Styela clava: one gene and its partner. The protein of the gene in region 1 purifies or fractionates together with the protein of each later gene. This does not show direct contact. Links are inferred from orthologs where the notes say so. Each region holds a gene or a part of one and is shown on either strand. Other genes may lie near its edges.

Region 1 (7,990 bases):
GGAAAGAAGTGCTGCACAGTGTACAAAACTACTATGCGTAAAAAGGCCACATGATCATTCTTTGTGTAGCAAATTTGTGTTCCTTTGAGAAGATCGTAAAAAGGAAACTTTCACAGATCAGAATTTAAATTCAATTTAATTTTTTTTTTTTTTTTAGGATTTACATATTCGAGTCGCCACCGATCCTAATACCCAGTATAATTAATCAAAGCTTTTTACATCTTTAAACGACCCACTAAGATTCCTTTTGCGACCCACCAGTGGGTCGCGACCCATAGTTTGAGAACCGCTGCTCTAGGATGATTAATAGCTAATGATCATAATGAATAGCAAAAATTCTTACTTTGGTTGGACAGGTGGCAAAGACCATTCTCGATTCTCATCGAGTCTTGGTAAATATCCATATCTGCCCTCAGGTACCGTCAATTCAGTTGGAGCAGCTTGAGGAGCATTCGATGGTGCACTCTGGAGACAATTTTGAAATAAAAAACATATGTCGGCTATAGGTTAAAATAATCAGGCTTCACATTAATTTTAAGTATCATAAGGAACCAACTATATAAATCATCTCAAGTTACATCAGATTGCAAGTAATCAAAATGCGATACATGAAGAAACAGTGACAGGCAAGTTCAATATGTGGAGAAGCACTTTTTGACATGAAAAATTGCACAAAATCAAGACCTCACCTTGTTTTCGGAATGATGAAGTGTAGATGCATTTTGAGGGCTTTGTTTACTGGGTTTGTTTTCACATTGTGCAGCATAATTTTGAAAAAGTTCGCTTTTCAAAAATGAAATATATGAATTTTCTTCAATATTGGATTCGATTTCGTTTTGAGCTTGGTCGAACAGAGAAGCGTCTAGTTCAACAGAACAAGACATATTTTTCTGTGCCTAAAAAAAGAAGCATTGTTGGAGAAAACTTTTCTACAAGTTCAATGACTAACAGGGCAGTGTACTGTACAGTTTACATCCAATGAAATCATCAGCTCTTGAGTTGGAAATTGGACTGACCAAAACCCAGTCATTTGTTTTTTCAAACATTGTGCATAACAAGAACATAACACAAACTCTTCCCTAAACCAGGGGTGTGCTACATTTTTTGGCAGTGGGCCATAAAACAAACTTCATACATCTACCTGGGCCACACAAAATTTAGTTTTTCTATGTAGCACCAGAGAAGATTAATTGCAGTGACAACTGACAAGCGCAATAAAACATTATGTATTTTACCATATGAGCGCCTTTTAAACATAAATTTTCGAATTATGATTGTAAGCTTAATTAGGAAAATCAGATTGTTCACAAAAGCCTAACTACATGGCTTAGTAGGCCGGGTCATGGTCCGCTTGTTGCACACCCGCCCTAAACCATATATCTTTGTCATGGTTTTGATAACGGTCCACCTTAATATTATATATTAAACATAAATACATAGTGTGTTCATTGACATTCATTAACATGGTTTCAATTCTATCAAAAATCATAACACAAACTATTGAAAGGCACAGTTAGACAACCAAAAAGTGATGTGTCTAGTTTATATCTGATACTGATAGAACAATTTAAGCTGGGAATCAATGTCAAAATTCAGATATTCATTATTACCATACAATTATTACTTATACTATATATTCATGTTGTAAAAAAACTTACCTGCAATGCATTCTTTATTTGTTTGCAAATATACTGTCGGGTCGCATCTCTTATGATACTTGACACTGCATGGCATTTATCTTTCTTCAAGTAAGTATTGAAAATCGTCTTTGCAAGTTTTCCTCTGAAAATATAATCAACAAATGCATGAATACAAAACTAGCAATGATGCACAATCTGTACAAGAAAATAGCTGGTAATCCATTTTGAAATAGTATTGGACAATTGCATAGACATAAAATTGGGATCCAGTAGATATGCTTAGAATAGAAAACTACAATTCAATTCAACCAGATTTTCAAAATAGGCCTGAAGTTTTCATTGAGCCTACAGTAGATCCCAAGAAAACATCAAGTACAAATTGAAAAAAAAAGAGGTGATTTATGCTCGAGGTTGAACCCTCATTTGGTAGTTCAAATTGACAAGTTGATAAATAGACATGGATTAGTTTTGTTATTGACACTTTTACTGTATTGGTAATGTTCAAATAAAAACATTTAAGATACTCGAAGGTTTTGTGAGCCTGAGATTTTGTTTGACGCTGAAAATAGGCCACAAGAGATAAAGGTTGAGAGCCAGTGGATTACAGTGCTCGAGCAAGTTCCATATTTCTGTTATATACTTTCAAAACTATTACCAATAGAATAATTCTCACCTAGTTACAGCATCAAACTGAGTTCTTTGGGCTGTCAATGGTCCTGTTGTTGATGAAGCAGCCGAAGAATTATTTGAATAATTATTTTTTGTACCAAAGTCTCTGAATCCTTTACAAGCTAACCAACAATTTAATAATTCTTGTCTTTTGCTATCAGCAAGAAATATTTTGAATAATCGAATTCCTTCACTATCTTCCAACATATTGTGAAGTGATGATCTCCATCGATCACAAGTAGGAAGAGGTGAAGCGCTTCCTTCTGGTTCAAATCCGAGATCTATGTCAGTTCGCCTGAAAAAAAAAATCAAATTTCAGAATAGTTAGGTTTAAAACTTCGAGAAATGAGCGAAGAATGATACATATACTAATCTACGTAGTCAATTGCTTTCCAGAATGAACTTTTAGAATTAAATTGTATTTATCAACAAGACTAAATAAAACACAAACATACAACTGGAGGACTCAGAATGCTGGAATGTATCGATAAAATAAAAAGAACCTATGAAATATACCTGGGTGTTGCAGTCGACAGTTCGGATTTCCCACTCACACTGCTATGTGTTGACATACGTCCATCAACAGATGTGACCTCATTTTCTTCTCCAATGGCAGGGGGTCTTGCATATGGCTTTGTGAAGTTATGGCCTTGTAAAAACGACTGTACCCCAAAGTTATTCATGCTGCTTGACTTGGTGCATTTTGTAATTATTTTTCAACCATTTTCATTTGATATTTTATACTAAATTTCACATATAAGCAATAGTATGATATTAGAATGATCTGAACAATATCATGAAAATTTGTATTTCATTACAGACATGAACCGATAACTCATATCTGCATATAATAATATCATAATAGACTAGTCTACAGGACTATATTATTATTTCTGAGTCATAATAGCTTCTTTCAGTTTTAATTGTTGCGACTACATACCGGTACAAATATGATAATACTGTAATACTACTGTACTATAAACCAACAGGTCATAGCCTACTGTCACAGGCAAATAAAGTTATACAGTTTGTACTGATTTATATAAGTTCTGGAGTATACCAGTACATCTGTATAAATCTACAGCAATGCAATCAGAAAGTTCACAAGTCCCGTCTAATCGACTGCTAATCCCAGAATTCTCTGATTTGGTCTCGTTGTCATCCTCTAATTCAGCAACCAACCCTCGACAATCAACTTATATTCAAGCGTACCGGTACAGTTTTAGACGTAGTCTGCTGTAGTTGATACTGATCAAATTTTTGAAAATGAATCCATGCCATTCATTTTTCAGTCACGAGTCACCTTGGTAGAACTGCTGTACTTTCAGACTTAAAACGACCTATACCGTAACTATTCTGGTGTGTTTGAAAATTATTTGATAATTTACTAGCTGGGAAAAACTATATAAAGGAACAAAAGAGACTACGAATCAGTCAACCAAGTTTCGCAAAACCTCAAAACATCCGCTCGTCAGGCCCAACCGAAGTCTTTGATCAGTGCCGAATTCCGCGGCATGTCCTTTGATATGCCGAATTTCAGCTATGCCGCTATGTGGCGCCAAATCCCCGTTTACCATGGTGAGGGCAACAAAGAGGGTGATGTTCTCTCCATCATGTCTTCATCAGCAAGGCTAATCTTATTTTGTTCAGCGGATGTTTCCCTGACCATCGACACCCATGTTTATTTCGATAACATCGGTTAATCAGCAGATGCCAAAGATGAGACAACAATTGAAATTTTAGTGCTCAGACATATTTTTCAGATTGATATTCAATTCAATTATTACTCCAGCCCAGACCCGTGGTTTTCAGCTGTGCACCTGCGGGCTGAGTCGTGTTACCGTGTTTCCCCCGGAAATAAGACTGGGTCTTATTTCAAGTTACTTCCGCAAAGTACCACTAGGGCTTATTTTCGGGGGATATCTTATATTTTCATTTAATAAAAACAAAATTACAAAGTAAAGAATTACGAGATTTTCAAATTTATATACAAAATATGAAAGCCGTTATCTATTTACTTATAAATAACACGTTTTTTTTATTCAAATCAACTGCTAAAGTTAGCTTATCAATCGTTTAAAGCGTGCAGGAGAGAATTTTTGCTACCGACTAGGTCAAAAACAATTTTGCGTATCAACTAGGTCTGATTTTAAGAGGAGGGCTTATATTAAAATGATTTTTAAAATCCAGGCTAGGTCTTATTTTCGAGAAAACACGGTATTGGACACGACATAACGATCGTTTCAATATTATGTTGTAGTTCATCACCATTATAAAATCGCTTTTCTCTTCGAATACTGGACCAATTGCTTTAGAAATTTTCAGTGGTTAAAGATTGATTTTTTCGCCATAAGGCTATTACTTTTTTCAAAAATTTCTGCGGAGATTCGTATTTTATGTGTCAGAATAAAATATAGTGGCACCTTGTGACGTGTCCATATATTTGAGCATACACTCAATGATAAAGTACTCATGATAAATACACTGTTGTAAACTCACATTCTCTGACTAATATTTCAAAACACCGAATTCAGCTACAGCAGTAAAACAGAGAAGAATATTTTGGAATGGAGAAAGAAATTGTTTATTTATTGAATAAAAAAGTTCAGCAAGTAGTAACTGATCAAAAAACGAAATTTCAAAACAAAGTCTAAAATGTGTGCATGATTTCTGTTCACTTTTCCCCAATCTTATTCTCCATATCATCAAAATCATTGGTGTCCAAGTTATGAACCTTAATTCCTGAAATAAAACAACCATAACGTTAGTAATAAGTCCCTGTTACCCTTATTCATAGTATGCTATGCCTATATACATATATACAGTATTGGCATTAACAATTGACTACAAGGGTTAGTAAACCCCTGATAAAAAATAGACGATTATTGGAATAATATATACCCATTTTCTCCACAACCTTTCTCTGGCCCCATCAGTGCTCTTTAGAGAAAGGACAGGATAAACAAAATGATACTTATAGCATCATAATTTCAGCAATAAAGAATGTCACTTGGAAGACACAAAAATATTTATCTTGAAATATGTCTTTGCATATATTTTGTACAGATGGGTCGAGATTTGGATCAGAACTTGATTTAATTAGAATCCACATATTTTTGGGACAAGGATTCTATATTAGGTCTCAATCAAATTCTGTATCTACTAATTGAAACCTATGCTATGTACTTTCCATCCCTCCGAAGATCAGCACAAACAATATCTAGTCAAAATCATTCAATCGACCACATAGGCTCTCTGAAAACATAATGTATCTATCACCAGGGTCTTGTTGGAAAATATTGATTTCTTTCGTAACATACTAGGTGCGTACTGTCCCTAATGTGGCCAGAAAATATGTCTATGTGCTTTTCGGTGCATGAACCACGTATATGTGGCTCAATTTATCTGTGAAACATGCTTTTGTTATCTGTTGTGAAATCACAAACTCTGAAGATTCAACTTAAGTTCTAAGCTCAGTTATTATTCGGATTAGTCAAATCAGACTCGTAACTCTAACATCTTGTCATGTGCCACTTCCATGATTGTTTCTAGTGAATTGCATCATAGCAGTATTAGAAAATGTCATCATTATTATTGTACCCTCAGACATTGAAAACCTGGTTAATCAATACCTTGGTATCAACACTACTCACCAAAATGTTTTTCGATTTCTCGCAAAACCATTTCATCTCTGTTTTGGCTGATAAAGTTGATTGCAATTCCAGATTTTCCAAACCTGCCAGTGCGACCTATACGATGCAAATATGTTTCACAATCCGCTCTTCCTTGCATATCGATAGGAAGGTCAAAGTTCACAACCAGTGTGACCTGTTTAACATAAAGGGAAATAAATTGAGAAAAAAGAAGAAAATTCTGTGGTCTGTTTTTCAATGTTTTACTATTTATTTTTATGCAATGTTGTATTGAAACAATATGACAAAAAATGATGGTGTTCAGATTATTTCAGTATATGAGGTAGCGTATATATATATATATATATATATATGAATAAGCATACAATATATTTTAGAAAATTTACCTGTTCCACATCAATTCCCCTCGAACAGACATTTGTTGTTACAAGAACTCTCTCTTTGGCAGCTTTGAATCGACGTAGAATTGAAGCTCTCTGTTCAACATCCAGTTCTCCACTTAGCAAGGCAACAACAAATCCTCCTTCACACATCGTCTGTGCAAGCCATTTCGCAGTTTTTCTTGTTGCACAAAATATGATTGCCTGACAAAAAATATTAAATGGATTGGAATTTAGTTTCAACAAAATAAGACATTGCATACAAAAATTTGTAACCAATCATGAAAATTAAAATAGTGAACACTCCAGAAAGAGAGGGGTCAAGTTAAAACGCCAATCAGTTCAGTGAGTAACAATTAAAAATCAAATTCAACAATTACACATCATTCTCTCATAACTACTCTGGGAAAAGTATTAGTGAAGTTCATGCTGGGGTCAAGGCTACAATGTTGGATAACTGTTGGCCAGGCATAATTAGCCTAATTTATAAAGTAGAGATAAAGTATCTGGCAATCCAAGATGGATAGACTACCAGTTTACATATTATTTGAACATTATATAGATTTTACATTAAATGCTCAAATTTGAGTCGTAAAATGTGTGGATTCGACTCAAATAAGAATCTCATCCTATCCCTAGTTTGCACCTTCATATGACCATTCATTATAATTTGCAAGTGTTCTGAAGAAGAAAACCTATATTAGTGTCAATAAAGACTAATCCGATCACAGAAGGATAGAAGATGTTGAAATAGTAAATTATGCTCAGAATACAGGAAGGAAATTTTCTATAAATAATTACACCAGTACCTGGCCGACAGATAGTACACTGTAAATATTAGACAAAGCATCGGCTTTCTTTTCTTTGCTGGTGCATTTGACGAAATATTGCTTGATATTGTCTAATGTTTCTTCTTCTCTTCTCAGCTATGAATGATAAAAAGAGTGTATGTTTACAAATATAGCAATGGCTACAACAAGCAAACTATTGAAAAAGACAAACATGATGTAATAAAGATATGGTTACAAATGAAAAGATGCAAATCATAGCGTTATGTTCTTGGACAACCTGTGTAAATTTTACATATTACAATATGAGGATTATAACCCAAAAGAGCAAAACTTGAAAAAGCTGCTTCGAGATAATGAGTAGAAACATATTTTTGACTTTTAAACTCCTGTAAACCTTTTGTTGGAATACTTTGGTGAATATTGCTTCAAACTAGGATTGCATACCAGCTTTAAATAACAACTTTTTTTTTTGAATATTTTCATATAAATTTCTTTTAAAAATTTTAACAATAGCAGCTGTCTTGAAACCTTCGAATAGTCATATTATAGTTGAAATGTATTTCTTATAAAATCACTTCCGATATAAGTTGATCAAAGGGTATGGTGATTTCTACACATGGAGTAGAGGTAACATCGGGCCCAAAAATTCCAGCCCGACCCGACTCGGGCCCGTGGGTATTAAACCCAACCTGGCCCGACTAATTAACTGTATTTGCAGGCCCGAGCCCGAAGCAAACCCGAAATTCTTAAAATAAGCCTCGAAAAATTTGCAATGGTAAAGTATAGAAAGAATATTTTCGGTGATCAAAAGTCGAGAAAAGGGCCATTACAGCTTCTTTTCTGTTTTATTCAAAATA
Region 2 (7,925 bases), on another chromosome or scaffold:
ACCATGCACGAGTTTAAGATAACATCAACAGACAGATTAGTAATGTTCAGCATGCAACACTGTTTCGTTGCATAATATTGCGAAATAAATAAAATTTGATATGCTGGTTCACCGATATACTAAACCAGGGGTCGGCAACCTTCTGGACTCGGCGTGCCATTTTATGAATAATGAGCACCTTCACGTGCCAAACATTTTTATGTGTTTGGTTTGCATAATTATGCAACTACCTTATTTGAAAAGTAAGAGAATGAAAAATAAAAATTATTTTATAGGATAACGTGCATGGAAATTAGCTTACAAGGGATTTTGTCATACGGCATCTCTACCTTCGACCTGTCTTTGTACGACTTACGGTAAGTAATAGGTATAAATGCCACTTACGATTAGTTTTGTAGCCAGAAACAATGTGAATGTGACAATACTAAAGAATATAAAATTCATCGCAATATTTTTGTTAAAGAAGATAAAAGTCATTCCAATATTTACGCTGAAATGATGAGAATTGTGGCTTCCATGGAGTACCCAGTCAGCCAGACGCGCAGTCAGGATTTTCAAAAAGGGGGGTTCTGAAACAGTCGCCGCGATTACGCGCTCGTAAGATGGGTTGACTTTTTCAGCGTATACCGGCCCTTCGGTCGCGTAAAATATTCAATTCATGACAGCTACGAGACTCTATGAAATTTCCTTCTTTATTGATATAATTGTGTCCAACGTGACTCGTGGTTGTGTCCTCTTGCGTCAAAAATATAAACATTTTTAGTCTAAAATACCGCTCAATCTGTTGACGTAAAAATATGAGATGAGCATGCCTAATTGTATTTAGTTTCGATACTTTTTGTGATCTTGCGAATTCGTTATCGCCGTTAGAAAAATCTTAAGATTTGTAATGAAATCCCGTATGGTACAATTAAATACATATAAAGTATATATATATATAGATATATATATATATCAGTAAATTGGCTGATGGAAACATTAAATGCATGAATTATGCTATTCAAAAATGTGACTAAATAGCATCGTACTTTGTCCGAATATCATACCAAACAGCCGAAAAACGAAAAAAAGTGGTAAAAACTGACTGTAGGCTACATCCCATTAAACGCCATTGCTTGATTGCCTAACTGTCTGAGCTTTTCCACTGCCGGCGATTTTCGTGAAAATGAGTTTTAAAAATTAATGTAAATAACAATCGTCAAAATTCCTGAAAAAATATATAGAATCCAAGCCATCAAATAATTAATTAATCTATAAAGTGTGTATATAATAAATCCGCACTCAATCATGTTAAAAACGATTTGAATTGAAACTAAATCATGAGCATCATCGATGCATAAATATCTTGATTTTACTGAAACCCACGATGCTTTTGTTTGAGTCGAATAAATGTAGAAAGATAATCAAGAACATACATATATATATATAAGAAAAGATTTAACGATCAAAAGAGATATTTCGCTCTACAAAAGCTGACTGATGTAACGGTCATTTCTTAAAAGAAAAAAGAGTATATATAAGATACTGAATGTATTATAGTGAGGTAGCAGCGATGGGGGGTGTGTCTGTATGAACAACCGTATCACAGCAAGGTAGTTCAGCAAAATTCCCTCACCTGTACATTATGGTTTATTGCATTTATAAAGTGTTACTTTGGTATCATTGAGCCAACATCGACATTGGATGAATTTCCATTGTCAGCAACTCCACAGTCAGCTTTTGATATATGATTGCCATGAAAACAAGCTGGTTATACTCAAATATATATATGATGACGACACACACGAAGACCAAAACGAAATTTTACAAAGTGCCTACCAGTACCAATTTAGCCAATAAAGAACAGTGTTGTACGTTGTAGATGAGTTTAATATTGTAGATAGACACGGAGAACAAACGATGAAGATACAAGACCTAATACATGCCCCAACTTGGCAATATGTTTTCAATAGAAGTTTATCTTTACTGTTCACTTCCAATTAGAAGATTGATCAATTTAGCAGTGGCAACCACTACAAAATTATTAACATGGTGTGGCAAATAATTTTTTTCCTTTTTATTGATATTTTTGTTTACTGTGTAGTTTACCATAAGCTTGTCGCGTTTTCTTTTTTACTTAAATTATTTCTCTTTAGTTGTGTGTGTGTGGTAGGTGCGTATGTGAAATAATTTTAGGCGAGTGAACACGTACCACTTCTTCTTGGCAAAACCTTCCAACTTATATTCTGTACGTTTTAAACCTTATTTTGTTTGCTCTGTTGATTTCATAATCATTTTTTATTTATTTGTTTTTATCAATCATTCTATTGTTATGCTGATTATGGAGCCGGAATAAATTTATACTTATTATGAATAGACAGATAGTTTATTTTGAAAACTCCATAACAAATATAAATTAAAAATGGAGAATTCTGGAGAGCAGGCAAAACCTAGAAAAAAGTTTATACCATGAGAAGTATCTCATGTCCCTGCCCACCAGCACGCACACAAAAACACAAGCCCAGTTGAATGAGGTTTGGGCCAAACTTAACAAACAAAATACACGATAGTATTGAACTTTCGGGCTGTTGTACTTTTAACACTTACGTTGATAATGACCAATACAATCACATTCAAAGATAATGTGGGGAGTGGAATGTAATAAATTGACGACGATAGTCATACCTTCACATCAGAACCTGGGACATGAACGTGCCATAAACTGATATTGTACATATCATTGTGGTGCCGTACCTCTTTGTCATGTGTATTGTACCTGTACAAGAGTTTTATTTGTATATTTCATGTCTGTTGTCCTACTATAACGCAGCAGTCCTAAACTGCAGTTATACGTGTTGGGGTGCATGTCCACATCTGTGTCTTAGGCCAGTAAGGTCTTACACATGTATCCCGTCTCTTTTATACCGTTATGCAGATACTGTTCCATTTTTGTGGCAAATAAACATAAATACATACATACTCATGAAGCCATGAAAGTTTTAAGAAAAACCAAGCCATGAAAAACTACACTGATTGCTAGATTGGGCATTGCGGAAAAGGTAAGTAGTTTAGGTATTATGCAGATACTGTTCCATTTTTGTGGCAAATAAACATACATACATACTCATGAAGCCATGAAAGTTTTAAGAAAAACCAAGCCATGAAAAACTACACTGATTGCTAGATTGGGCATTGCGGAAAAGGTAAGTAGTTTAACTGATAAGTAGTTTAATCGTAGTAGAATATATTTACGGTGAACGAACAAACGCAAAACCGTGACGGTAAATTCGGTGTGCGGACACTCATAAAATATAGTGCAATAAACTGTGAATGACCAAACTAAAAAAAAACAGCAGGAAAGCAGATTCACTGAATGCAATACCAGGTATTATTAAGTTCACCCAATTCGAAAGAAACAATTTATAAGTAACCTGTTTCAGTTTCAAAAAATAGGTAGGCCCTACAGCAAAAACATTTTTCTGAAGATACTGTAGCAACAACATTAACTTCAAATGATGTTCGAAATTCACTATGATGTGATATAACTATTTGTTTGTTTTGTTTATTTTTATTAAATTCAGTAACTGCAAATTTGAAATCTAGAATCTAGATATTTTTTGAGGTCGAACTAGATGCTTTTATTCGGACAAAAGTGGCAGCCCCGGACTAATCACAGCTTCGATGACGAGCGTATTACAGCCGAGAATTTCAGTTTCTTCTGTGGTCTGGTGGTTTTCTTAATATGTTTGTGTTTGCATTTATTTATTTTTTTATCATTGTGGATGTATAATTTTTTTTGCCTCCATGATTTTTCTATGCAAAGGTTTATTTCTGGGAATGGGATCAAATCAAATTTGGATGGGAACTAATCAACTATTAATTCGATCAATTGGCAAAAAAAAGCGCCGTATAAGTTATTCCGTACCTTGTATACCTACATTGCATGCTTAGAATTCATACTGCTGTACTGTGAATCATAGTAAAATTGACAATTTTGAAAGAGGCAAAGGACAATATTAAAAGAGGCAAAAGTGACAAACGGCAAAGAAGACCATACGATTTGCATACGGTATGGTACCGTACCTGCTGAACTGTCTGCATGTGAGCCTGTAGGCCGACTACGGTAGTACCGGTACCCGGTATAGGATTTTACATACCGACCTCTCGTCTCGTTAGTACGGTGCCGTAGCGACATGTGATTAGTTAGCCAGTTGGACTACGGTACCGGTGGTACGGTATCAGATTCCGGTACCTGTCTAAGCGTGGGTCAGTACCGGTAGGTTAGGTCTGTCAATCTGTAGGTACCGGTACCGGTACCATGGGTGAATTAACACGTACCACTACTTTTTGGCAATACTTTCCATCTCATATAATGTACGTTTTAAACCTTATCCAAGGTTTTGTTTACTCTCCTGATTTCATAATCAGTTTTTATTTATTTGTTTTTATCAACCGTTTTATCGCCTTTCTGCTGATTACTGGATTATGGAGTCTAAATAAACTTATCTTATCTTATAGCAAATGCTAAAATAGGATCAGCTACCCGTAATACAGTATTGGATTAAGCTGGCTTCTAGTTCAAAAATCCAATACTGCAAAAGCATTTCTGTAATATCTATTAACCATGATTTTTTTAACATAGTCTACAGTAGGTCTGTAGGTGTTGTAACAAACAAGCTATGGTATTTATGGATCTGTAATCCTATGTCTGTCTGCCTGTTGAAGGTTTTTGGCTGTTGTTGTATCCATTTTTGCATTTAGTACATTGAACTCACATTTCAGCATTTTTAATCTCATGTCACAGTGTCATGCATGTTCCACTCACAACTATCTACGGTACGGTACCTATGCTCAAACTTTCATAAACAAGTCAAACTTTCAAATATTAACCTGTTTTTTTAACAGTATTTTATATGAAGCTTTATCAATAAAGATTCTTATATTATGTAAAAATGAAGCTATTTACTGACTTACCTGAAGTTGTTTGCACATCATGGGATTTATGTCTGACAAGAAAAAAGTGAAGCTTGACTTTGTTCTCAAAAGTTACTCGTCTACCTCAAGATAACTTTAAATTCTTGTAAAGATCTTTAATATTTGCTTGTTTGTGGATTTACCTGGGCAACCGTTTAAAAAAATGGGAGTACTCAAGATAATCTTCTACCTCATTCTCATTTATTCATTTATTGAACCTCTCGGTAAGTTCTTTTCTCTGTTCATGATTTCATGAGATAGCATATTTCTATCTTGTCACATTTCACTTTTGTGTTGTGTTCCTTGTATATACAATACTTATTGACTTCAATTTTATTTTTTATACCGGATAGTTACATGCAGGAAGTGTTATTGATAAATAAGGAAGTGTTTGGAGTGAATCATTTCCTTTATTGATGATTATATAAATTTTAAGGCGCATGTTTACTAAACGCCGTAAGTACTTCTAGTTGGCGCGGCACAAACATTTTTGCATAATATGTTATTCCTAACCCCCACCTGACTACATCATTCCAAAATTAAGTCACTACAACGTCATAGAGCTTGCCAAAGAAATGCTAAGATTGCCCGAAATGGCATCTTCGCCGACAATATAAAACTTGCTTACGCCAGCGATCTCTCTCATATCTGGATCGCTAAGACGAGAAAACGAGAGAAATAGCTTGCTTGATTCTGGGTGATTGTCTGCGCGTTTTAGACAACATTCCATATACTTTGACGGGCCTTATTTTGTCACTGTGACGTAATTTTTGGTTGGCGTAGTCAGGTGGGGGTTAGAAATGACATATGCGAAAATGGTTATGCCACGCCAACTAGAAGTACATGAAGGCGTTTAGTCAATTAGCCCCAATTTTCATTTGAATATCCTCCCATGAAAAACATACATAAAACAAAACAATGAACACACAAAATATTAGGAAAATCAGGAAAACTGACAAAGACTCTAATAAGGTTTAAAACACATTGAAACACATGTGCCAGTTTAACCTATATTATAAGCACAAACATAAAATACGAATGTGTATCGTTCGGACATCTGACTTGTGTAGCATAAACACCCTGCCGATAGTTAGTTACTCAATTCTGCAGCTGCACTCTTGCCCGTGGAGTCGGGAGTTGAGCATGTTTTGTTGATATCAGAGTCTGAGATGGAGTCGTATTTTGAAATTTTCTTGCAGGACAGAGTTGAGCCAGTGTCATAATTGTATGTCTCTGGAGTCAGAAATAAAAATTTTCAATAGTAATAATATTTTCAACAAATTTCAAAACCGCTGAGATGACTAAGAATTTGAAAAAAGAATTGCCAAAAATTTGGTTATCAAAATTAAAGTTTTATCCGAGCTGGAGTCGAAAGTTTTTATCTGCCTGTAGTAGTACCGGTAGTCCGTGCTAAACCAAATTCCTTAAATGTCTCAAGTTTTAAAGTTGGAATACGATGTGTATTTCTCAGGAAGTTAATTTTATTTTAGTAATGCTATGTATGTGAATAAAAACCCTGAATTAGTAATCGCATCGAATGTTCTGTGTAAATTTTGCAATACATTCAAAATTAAACCTTGTTACAAAATAATGCTATATTAAATAATAAATGATCAAGTTTTTTATATCTTTCACATTTCTAAAATCTGTCAATTTTTTTATCGTGTTCTAACTTATTATTTGATATTTTATACAGCTTCCAATGATTTGCCCAAGCTCCTGCTTGGAAATCGTGCAAACATTCAACTCCTCGACGCGGCCAATCCAACTGATGTTGAATTGATAGTAGACGATATTGACTACACAATGTCATGTGATTATATTTACTCAGATAATTTGATATTTTGGATCGATTCAGCAGCTGGACAGGTAACTGGTATTGCCAATATTAGCAGGAATTTTAGGAAAGCTGGACAAACATTATCAATTGTTGAACTAGGCTTATGTTGTTTTTTGCTTTTTTATGGGTTTTGCAGCCCATTGTCTGGTATGTAGCTATTTTGATCATGGGACAAAAATTGAATATCTATAATTCTTATGTATATCCAATGGAATGGAGCTTTTTTAATAGCAGATTCTGGTTTTATTTGTGTGTCATTCTAATTTTGCTTTGTATTATTTGTTCTTATAACACGTAAACACTGTGATGCATTTTACAGGATAAAATACAATCAACTTTCACGAATGTAAGTTTTGAAAATCGGATAAAAAGAAACGTCATTACAACTGGACTTGTACGTCCTGATGGACTTGCTTGTGACTGGATAAGTAAAAAATTATATTGGACAGATGATGAAACCGATCGCATCGAAGTCAATGACATAAATGGCAAGATTCGTAAAGTTTTGGTCTGGGATCAGCTTGATCAACCAAGAGCAATTGCAGTTGACCCAATCAAAGGGTAAGAAACTGACTGTATTTTACTTACTAAAATAAATTTTCATCAATTTCAAATTGTGAAGTTCCATTTTTACGAACTAGGCATTACATATCTGAAATTTAATTTTGTTTTAAAAATGTACTTACATGTCCAGTTTCTTTTTTCATTGCCATCTTAATCTTTAAAGATCACAAAGTTTACCATAATTCTCATTGTTCTCATTTCTCAACTGTTATTGTAAACCATTATTGGTTTTCTTGTCAAAGGTCCTTGTCACCTCTTGAATGTGGCACTCACATAGAAAATTTGTGAAGTTGAGTGTGTGCGTTTATTGATTATATTGGAATTACTTTTCTGTTTTTTCTGAAGGTGTTTCACTCACCCATGGATGATAGTTTTTTATTTGTTTTGTAAATGTGTTCAATTAAAACATCAGTTTGCGTTAGTGGGTAATGATTACCGCAAAAGGAATATGTATTATCTGAATCTATATTTCATTAAGCAAAGGGAGGGTTTTTGTTTACTTTTTCTGAAATTAACAATGAACAAGACATATCATGATTTGTGCAGGCTTCCTATTGGAATATTTGTC

Evidence for each region. Proteins that work in one complex are often made in the same cells at the same time.
Region 2: the proteins of axin-1-like (region 1) and low-density lipoprotein receptor-related protein 6-like purify together in Homo sapiens (affinity purification with western blotting; 3 studies listed by BioGRID). This does not show direct contact. The link is inferred for Styela clava from reciprocal best matches to the Homo sapiens genes AXIN1 and LRP5.

What each region holds. Positions count from the first base shown.
Region 1 is NC_135256.1:17,129,819-17,137,808, forward strand, and holds the start of axin-1-like, read right to left. Parts: upstream 3,108-7,990; 5' UTR 2,993-3,107; coding exon 2,826-2,992; intron 2,605-2,825; coding exon 2,314-2,604; intron 1,783-2,313; coding exon 1,659-1,782; intron 897-1,658; coding exon 690-896; intron 466-689; coding exon 344-465; intron 1-343. Other genes in the region: ATP-dependent RNA helicase DDX19A-like, read right to left, coding at 4,984-5,051, 5,963-6,137, 6,349-6,546, 7,152-7,268. UniProt on the Homo sapiens protein: Component of the beta-catenin destruction complex required for regulating CTNNB1 levels through phosphorylation and ubiquitination, and modulating Wnt-signaling.
Region 2 is NC_135261.1:20,798,386-20,806,310, reverse strand, and holds the start of low-density lipoprotein receptor-related protein 6-like, read left to right. Parts: upstream 1-4,873; 5' UTR 4,874-5,116; coding exon 5,117-5,177; intron 5,178-6,649; coding exon 6,650-6,822; intron 6,823-7,112; coding exon 7,113-7,354; intron 7,355-7,925. UniProt on the Homo sapiens protein: Acts as a coreceptor with members of the frizzled family of seven-transmembrane spanning receptors to transduce signal by Wnt proteins.